2 linked regions of the Ovis aries genome follow. The protein of the gene in region 1 interacts with the protein of each later gene in a pairwise test. Links are inferred from orthologs where the notes say so. Each region holds a gene or a part of one and is shown on either strand. Other genes may lie near its edges.

Region 1 (3,616 bases):
ATCTCAGTAGCTTGGGGGTGAAACCAGGGCTCAGAGAGGTGAAATCACTTGTCCAAGGTCACCATGAGTAAGCGGCAGAACAGTGTGGACTTGAACCCTGACGCTGGTGCCGGGGGTTGGGAGGATGGGCATCTGGGATGACGGGGGACACAGCACCAGACCGCAGGATCATGCCTCAGCTCTGCACCTGCTCTCACCCCAGGGCCCCCTTCCCAGAGGGCAGAGACAGGTGGCAAAGGAAGAGCCCTGCCAGCATGGGGGACCCTGGGAAGACAAGTCTGGAAAGGAGCTTATTTAAGATCTTGAGGGGACAGTAATGCCCTGGGTGTGATCAGTCATGCAGGGCTGTTTGGAGGTGAGGCACTGACATGATGGGGGATAGTCACCATTTATGACCTGCCTGCCATTGCTCAGTGGTAAAGACTCTGCTTGTCAATGCAGGAGACACAGGAGATATGGGTTCAGTCCCTGGGTTGGAAAGATCTCCTGGAGAAGGAAATGGCAACCCATTCTGGTATTCTTGACTGGAGCAATCCACAGACAGCGGAGCCTGGTGGGCTACAGTCCATGGGGTTGCAAAGAGTCAGACAGGACTAAGTGAGCACACTGCTGTGTAAGGGGCTGGGAAATCAGAGATGACGTAGACGCTACTGTTGATTCTAGATGAGCGTAGAGTTAGCCAGGGCCGTAAAACCTAGACTCAAAAAATTGAATCTCAGGGAGGAAGTGACCGTGAGAGAACCCGAGGCCCTAAGAGGAGAGAGACAAAGGGAGAAAGTTATCCTAAGAGTGTGTGTTTGGGAAGAAAGAGAAAGAAGCAACTCTGGATCCTGGAAAGACTCTCAGGTTGGAAATTGAGGCTTGTGCTGGGCCATTGGATGGCCCTGGGCTGCCTCTGCTTTCACTGAGTGACTTGGGGCACACATACCACCTCCTTCTCAGAGCCTTGGTACACCATCATGGCATGCTTACTGATGTATTCTTCCCACTCTATTTAATCACCGCCTTCTCCATGTCAGGCACTGTACACTGCAGATTTAGGGCTGAAGACTACAGGCAAGTTTCCCTGCTTTGACAGAGATTACAGTCTGGTGGATTAAATATAGAATTCGGTGAGGCCATGAATATAAATTGCTTTGTTGGAAGCCCAACCTGCTGTAACCAAGAGCCTAGGGACTATAATTAGAACAAATGAACCTTAGCCTCCCCTGCCCTGACTTGCTGGGCGACCTTGGGCAAGTCCATTCACCTTTCTGGGACCCAGTTTCCTCTTTTCCAGAATGTCTCAAAATGACTCTGGGATCCTACAACTTTTTCCAGGTCCTGCACTAGCCAGGCCTGGGCCAACTCCATCACTGGAGTTTGAATCCTAGTCTTGGTGTCACTGGCTTCCCTGGTTCCGGGCCCTCAGAGAATGAAAAGAAAAGGATTCAGGACAGACAACCTCTGAGAGCTCGGGTTGTAGATATGGAGTGGGGTGGGGGGCTCCTGGGGCTGCAGGGGAAGACAGGGATTTCAGACCCCGCCTCGTGACTGATGACTCTTCTCCACTTCAGCCGGCCGCTGCAGAAGGGCAGCCACCCCATGTGCAAGGAGCATGAAGATGAGAAAATCAACATCTACTGCCTCACGTGCGAGGTGCCCACGTGCTCCATGTGCAAGGTGTTCGGAGCCCACAAGGCCTGCGAGGTGGCCCCCCTGCAGAGTGTCTTCCAGGGACAGAAGGTACTGGCCTGAGTGACTCCCACCCCAAGCCCAAGCCTGCTGGACAGATGATTCAGGATGTGGACTTGATCCCCATAGATCTGCTGAGCCGGCCTTTCAGGAATAGTCCCCCTGGAGGGACGTCCTGGGCCACAGGGAGAACTGCCCTTGCCTTCCTTGGGGAGATGGCAAGCTGAGCTCATGAGTTATACTTAGAGCCGGTTGAGGGCACCTGGGTGCGGCCCCAAGGGAGAGACCAGATCTCAGGGCCAGGTCACCCGGGTCCTCTCAGGCCATGACTTCTATAATCCAGTGTCGTTTGGGCCCCTGCTGCCCCTTCCTGTGCTGGTCCCCGCTCCCCAGATCCCCCTGCAGCAAGAGGCAGCCTTCTCCCTGGGTCCCTGGGCCTGCGAGAGCCCCACCACCCTGTACATACAGTAAGCTGTGGCTTCCAAGGTGACTCAGTGGTAAAGAATTCACCTACCAATCCATGAGACACAGATTCAATCCCTGGGCTGGGAAGATCTCCTGGAGAAGGGAATGGCAACCCACTCCAGTTTTCTTGCCTGGGAAATCCCATGGACAGAGGAGTCTGGTGGGTTACAGTCCCTAGGATCGCAAAAGAGTCAGACACGACTTAGTGGCTAAGCAACAATAACCCTTTTCTTTACTCTTTCCTCCCCTCCTTCCTCTCTTCCCTTGATCTTCTCTTCTAGAATTCTCCAACCTTTTTTTTTTTTTTCTGGATCCTTTCATTCCCAGAAACAAGCCCCTCCTTGGCCAGCACACTGCTGTGCATTTGGGGCAGCTCACGTCCCCTCTCTGTGCCTCCACTGTGATATGGGGGATGCAGTGTCTCTCCGGTGTTCTCTGCTCTGGACCTGAGCTGCGCCCCAGAAAGATTTTCTTTCTAGCAGAGAGGGGAGTGAGGGTGCTGTGTTGCTGCCACTCCCATGAGGGTGGGCCCTGAGACTATTTTTGTCTCTCCTCTCCTGTTCCCCCACCGTCCCTCCCATCTAGACTGAGCTGAGTAACTGTATCTCCATGCTGGTGGCAGGGAATGACCGTGTGCAGACCATCATCACTCAGCTGGAGGACTCCTGTCGAGTGACCAAGGTGAGGGGGAGCATAGCTGGGCCTGGGTGTTCGAGGCCTCCCAGGGCAACCTGGTCTCTGGGGTGGCTTCCCCATGGAGCCTGGGCCTGGAGTGTTCACACAGGGATGGTTGGGGAGGGAATGACTAATCCATTTATGCATTCACTCACAAAAGCTTCTTGAGGACAGCTGGATACCAGGCTCTGCCAAAGATGCTGAGGATGGGGTGGCGAGGAAGGCAGACCAGGTCCCTGACTTCAGGCAGTATCCCCTTCAATCATTCCCAGCATTTATTCAGGGAACTAGTAGTTCTTAGAGCATTGTTCTCCAGTGTGCTGTACACTAAAGCTTCTCAGACTTTAATGGGAAACTTGAAATCACCCTGAGATTTTGTTAGAATTCAAGTTCTGATTCAGTAGGTCTAGAAGGAGGCATGAGATTGTGCTTTTCTAACAAGCTCCCAGGATTTGCCCAAGTTGCTTGTCCATGGACCACACTCTGAGGAGCAAGACTGTAGAGGCAGAGGACCCTTTTCTATTTCTGCAAAAGCATCCATGATTTTTCATATCCCCTTGAGGTGGGGACCTGGGAATGACATGGGGGGTTGGGAGTGATCAGTGTATTTCTGATGGATAGAGTTGTGTGAGTATAGGTTCAGAGAAGGAAGAAGGATGTTATTATCTACGAGGGGCCCCCAGTCTAATGAGATGCTGCTATTATACCCAGTTTACAGGTAAGAAAACTAAAATGTAGCGTCAGTGTTGGACAGCAGGGAGCCTCAATGTGGATACCATTGCCAGGGGTTGGTGGGGGGCTG
Region 2 (4,323 bases), on another chromosome or scaffold:
CGTGGCAATTAAGCACTGTCCAGAGAGCCTGGGGGCCTCCACTATCGTCACCTAGCTGAGGTGCTCTTAACTGGGAGGAATGCATACTTCACTATTTGACTCACTGAAAGGGGAGAGGGGATTCTTAAGCCTGCAAAGACGACAGTGGTTTCCCCACTCACCCAACGAAGACAGTTCTCTTAAAAGCGGAAAAATTCAAAGGTTGAGTCATCTTCCCTACATCCTCCCCCACCCCACCCCCAACACAGATCTGGTGATGTTACATACTCCTCCCCTCAGAAAAGCTCCCCCTGCATTCCCAACAGCATCCTCAGGCAACCTGAGGGTGAATTATTTGCTAACAATGCTGTAGAGTCCCGACCTAGAGCCTCCTCTACACCCCAGGGAGTGGCCACACCCTGCAGACAGCAAACAAGGAGCTACTGTCCTTTGCCTCTTATCTTAATCTCACACCAGCTGGCTGAGCAAATCCCAGAATGCTACCTGGAGTAGGTGCCAATAGAACCTGAAGATTTTAGTTTTAGGTTTCCAAGTTTGTTTCTAATCTTATAGCCAAAAGCTATAATACCAAAGGCTGAAAGCCATCTCCCTTCTTGCCTTCCTTTGGCTGGAGGACCAAAAAGCCCCTGTTGCAAGTGGAGAGTAGCAAGGTAACATTGTTAGTTACTTTGCCAACACTGTAGCAGGATTCCTGAGCGACTGGTTTCTAGATCTCTGGTATTTACATACAGCCTGACTCCCAAAGATGAACTATGACCGTTTCGGGATGGCAGCAAGAAGAGGAGCGCTCGAGTTCAATTATAGATGAAGTCATTGGGCTCAGTGACCAAAAGAATACATCTGGAGGCATCGCACCAGAGATTAGACACTGCACCCTGTATAGACACTCAATATGTATCTATGTTTAAGTATGTATATAGCGACCCACCCTTTCAACACCCAAGATGAAAATAGTTACAATTTTCACATGGGAAACAGGTCCTGAGGCTGAATTCCCCCTATTATTCCTATCAGTATGTAATGAGTTAAACCTGATTCTGAAAGCCTGTTTTCAACTTCCCACTGCCTCTGTCCGTCATGTCTGGACCTCAGTTATCAGGCTCATTTGTATGGGGGAGGGTCAGTGTCCCGGGTTTGAAGAACATAGATAAGAAGACAAGAGATGCCAACCCATTACTGAGTCTTCAAATAATCTTCAGACTGGAAGGTGCTTTTCCGCTTCATCACACCCCGTGTGATGCCACCTGGTGAGGCCTCCTAAACCCCGACAGGAAGTGCGTACCCTCCACGTGTGGAAGCCCGCGTGTACCTTCTTCACGGCACTTATCAGTGGTAACTTTTACATTCGTTTCCTAATCGGACTGAGCTCTGTGGGCTAGGACGATTTTAGTCAATCTGGTCTGGTCTCCACAGCCCTCCCCCAAACAACTCTTTATACGAGTTTTTAATGAATGAGCGTGTGTACGTGGCACCAAGCTCTTGATATATTTCTACTCTCCTCAACCCGCGGCCTCCGCGCTCTACAATCGGGCGCATCTGTTAGGCAACGCTGTTAAGTAACGTGAAGCACAGGCAGGGAGCCAGGTGAGTGCCTCGAACTCGAGGAGGCCTCTGAGCAGCATCCAGAAGCTTGTCGGGCCGGAGATGATGCTTGGTCGGTAACGGGCCCGAGGGTCAGAGTTTCCTGAAGCCGAGGAGCGGGCGCGGCAGGGCGGGTCCGGCGCCGCTACGTGCAGCCCCGCCTCGGCGGGATGGAGCCCGGGGCACCGCCCCCACCCCCAACGCCCCCCGGAGCAAGCGGAGCGCTGCGGCCGCTCTATCGTATTCTGGGCGGCACAAAACAGGAACGCGCCACTGGGCAGCCACCCTTTCTTCCTCTGCAGCGGGTTAGACCAAGGGTTACGTAACCCTCTAACTGCGCCTCCGGCCGCCACTGCATCCATCTCCGGGCCGCCTGGGAGCCAGCCTGCCCATCCGCAGACCAATGCACTTCGGGACTGACCCCGGAACTCCAGCCCCGGGCTGGGGAACTACGATGGAGAAGGGGGGGCAGGAGATGGGAGGCCGAGGGGCGGGGACGGAGAGCAGGCGGACGTGACCAGAACAGAGGGGGAGGGGCGAGGAGGCTGGTGGCGCGAAGGAAGGTGCGCAGGAGAGGGATGCGCTGGAGCGGACGTGACCAGAGAGGCGGGGGAGGGGCGGGAGCCAGCGCGTGAATGAGGGTAGGTACTAGAAGGGGACAGCAGCTGAATGGAGGAGGAACAGGGGAGCGGAGCTTGGGGAGTTTCAAGGAGAAGTTACAAAGAAAGCATCAGAATGAGGGGGACACGGACAGGTTGAAAACAAGAAGCGAGTATTAAGGATGATGGGAAAGGGACGGGCATAGGAGCAGAGTGGAAACGGGGGAGACTGACGCATGAAAGGAAACTATCAAATTAGGAGAATAAAGGGAGGAAGAGGAGAGCGAGACCAGGTCGAAGAGGGAGGAATAGGGAGGTGAGAATGGGACCAGAATGGGGATGGGAGGTCAGGGACTGGGGCAGGAAAGGGGCTGGCTGACCCGTCTGCCTTCGGAAGAAGCGGGAGCTGGGGGCTTTGAAGGAGATCCTAGGCACAAGCAGCCTTTCTCCTCTTTTCTGATCCCAACCGGGTGAGCCCAAGATGCCCCGGACCCTGCGCCATCCTGGGTCCGCAGGCGGGCCAGCATTCCGCACTGCCCCGGGAGACGATGGCCCAGTCTCTCCCCACGCTCACCTCCGACGTGCTCCGGCTCGGGATGCGCTGCTACTGCACACAAGTCCGGAGGCTCGCGACGCGTCGCTCCAATGCGGAGATCCGCTGCCTTAGCCTCAAGGTTATCCCGACTGTGGGCCGCCGCAATCCCTCCGCCGCCCCGCCTCCCACCCAATCCTGGCTCCCGGCTCTCGGGGCCCCGCCCCTCCGCGTCCTCGCCGGGCAGTCACCTTCAGTAGGAAGTGCGGCGGAGGCGGAACGGGGGAATCAGGTTGCCCTTTGAGGGAGGACTACATTCCGTGGCGGAAGGACACGAAAAATAAAACTCGCAGCATTGAGGTTCTGCAGAGCCCAATGGGGAAGCGGCGAGACGGGAGGACCCGCCCTCGGAGCTCTGGAGACCTCCCTCCCAGACCCCCCGGCGCCCAGGCCACCTGTTGCGGCCAACTTGGAATACTGGACCAGGTCTTCTCTTGACCCTTGGCCCAGGCCACCCCAGCTGAGTGGCTCTGGCCTACCCAGATAGTGCCCAGATTTATGGGTCCCCGGGCAGCAATCCCCTGGCCCGGGTGCCCGCCCCAGCGCACGCCCCGAAGACTGAACCGAACAGTCAGGGGTGGGGTGGGGGATGTAGACTCATGGGATGGTTGGAGGTCCCGGCCGCCTTAGGAGGGGCTCCTACACTGGAACGGGGGTAGAACAGGGGAGGGCGGGGAGAACGCGGGAGGGCGGAGTGTGCTAGGAGGGGGAGCGCGAGGCCCTTTTGTTCTTAGGGTTTAGAACAAAGGACAAGTAGAGGCCATGTGAAGACTTTAGTAGGGACTGGAGTCCTGCGGTGCGAGTGCCTGAGAGTAGAAAGTGAATAGAAGGTATTAATATTAGTGCAGGACTGACCATATCAGGAAATGTCATAAAGTTAGATCTCATAATCTCTGCCAAAGTAAGAATTTCTGTTTTCAACCTTGTGTATTTTAATCAATATTGTTGGAGCTTTTCTTGTATTTTTCCTTAAGGCATTTTCTCATTTCCTAGTGATCACAGCAGTTATCTAAGAAGCAACTGTTAACTCTTGCCTTCTTTCCGCCAAATTTTGAGCAGATACAATGTTAAAAATCGTGAATACTATTAGGTTCTTTCCTTTTCCTGGAAAAAAGAGACCAATGGGTGTGACCCACTCAGGCAGACACCCTGCCTGCAGCTGAATCACAGGCCTTCATTATGCTTTCCTGTTAGCTCAGATAAGCTGACAAAAAGTAACAACATTAATTTGTTTAAGATAAAATATTTTAATCTCTTCTATAAGCTGTTTCTGGTTCCCTCAGTTGCAGAGAGGGAGTGAATGCTTCGTTACTGAGGTGGTAAGAGCTCATGAAGTTGCTGAGAAGGAAAAAAAAAAAATCATGCTTTACCAGAGGGAATCAGATTCTTCTCTATCCAGAGAAAGAGGGTGGCTTAAGTGGCCATATTGGCCCATCAGCTAAAGATGAACAAAGTACAGGGTTGAACAACACTAGAGGGGCAACGTTCTGGCCAGTGCTGGACTACATTGCATTTTAAAGATCTGTATCTATATTCCTGTGATTGAAAAGC

What was found.
Region 2: the proteins of TRIM63 (region 1) and PKM interact in a two-hybrid assay, tested with the Homo sapiens proteins (3 studies listed by BioGRID and IntAct). The link is inferred for Ovis aries from reciprocal best matches to the Homo sapiens genes TRIM63 and PKM.

The regions. Positions count from the first base shown.
Region 1 is NC_056055.1:240,762,868-240,766,483, forward strand, and holds part of TRIM63 (E3 ubiquitin-protein ligase TRIM63), read left to right. Parts: intron 1-1,556; coding exon 1,557-1,725; intron 1,726-2,724; coding exon 2,725-2,820; intron 2,821-3,616. UniProt on the Homo sapiens protein: E3 ubiquitin ligase. Mediates the ubiquitination and subsequent proteasomal degradation of CKM, GMEB1 and HIBADH.
Region 2 is NC_056060.1:19,006,395-19,010,717, forward strand, and holds the start of PKM (pyruvate kinase PKM), read right to left. Parts: upstream 2,830-4,323; 5' UTR 2,755-2,829; intron 1-2,754. UniProt on the Homo sapiens protein: Catalyzes the final rate-limiting step of glycolysis by mediating the transfer of a phosphoryl group from phosphoenolpyruvate (PEP) to ADP, generating ATP.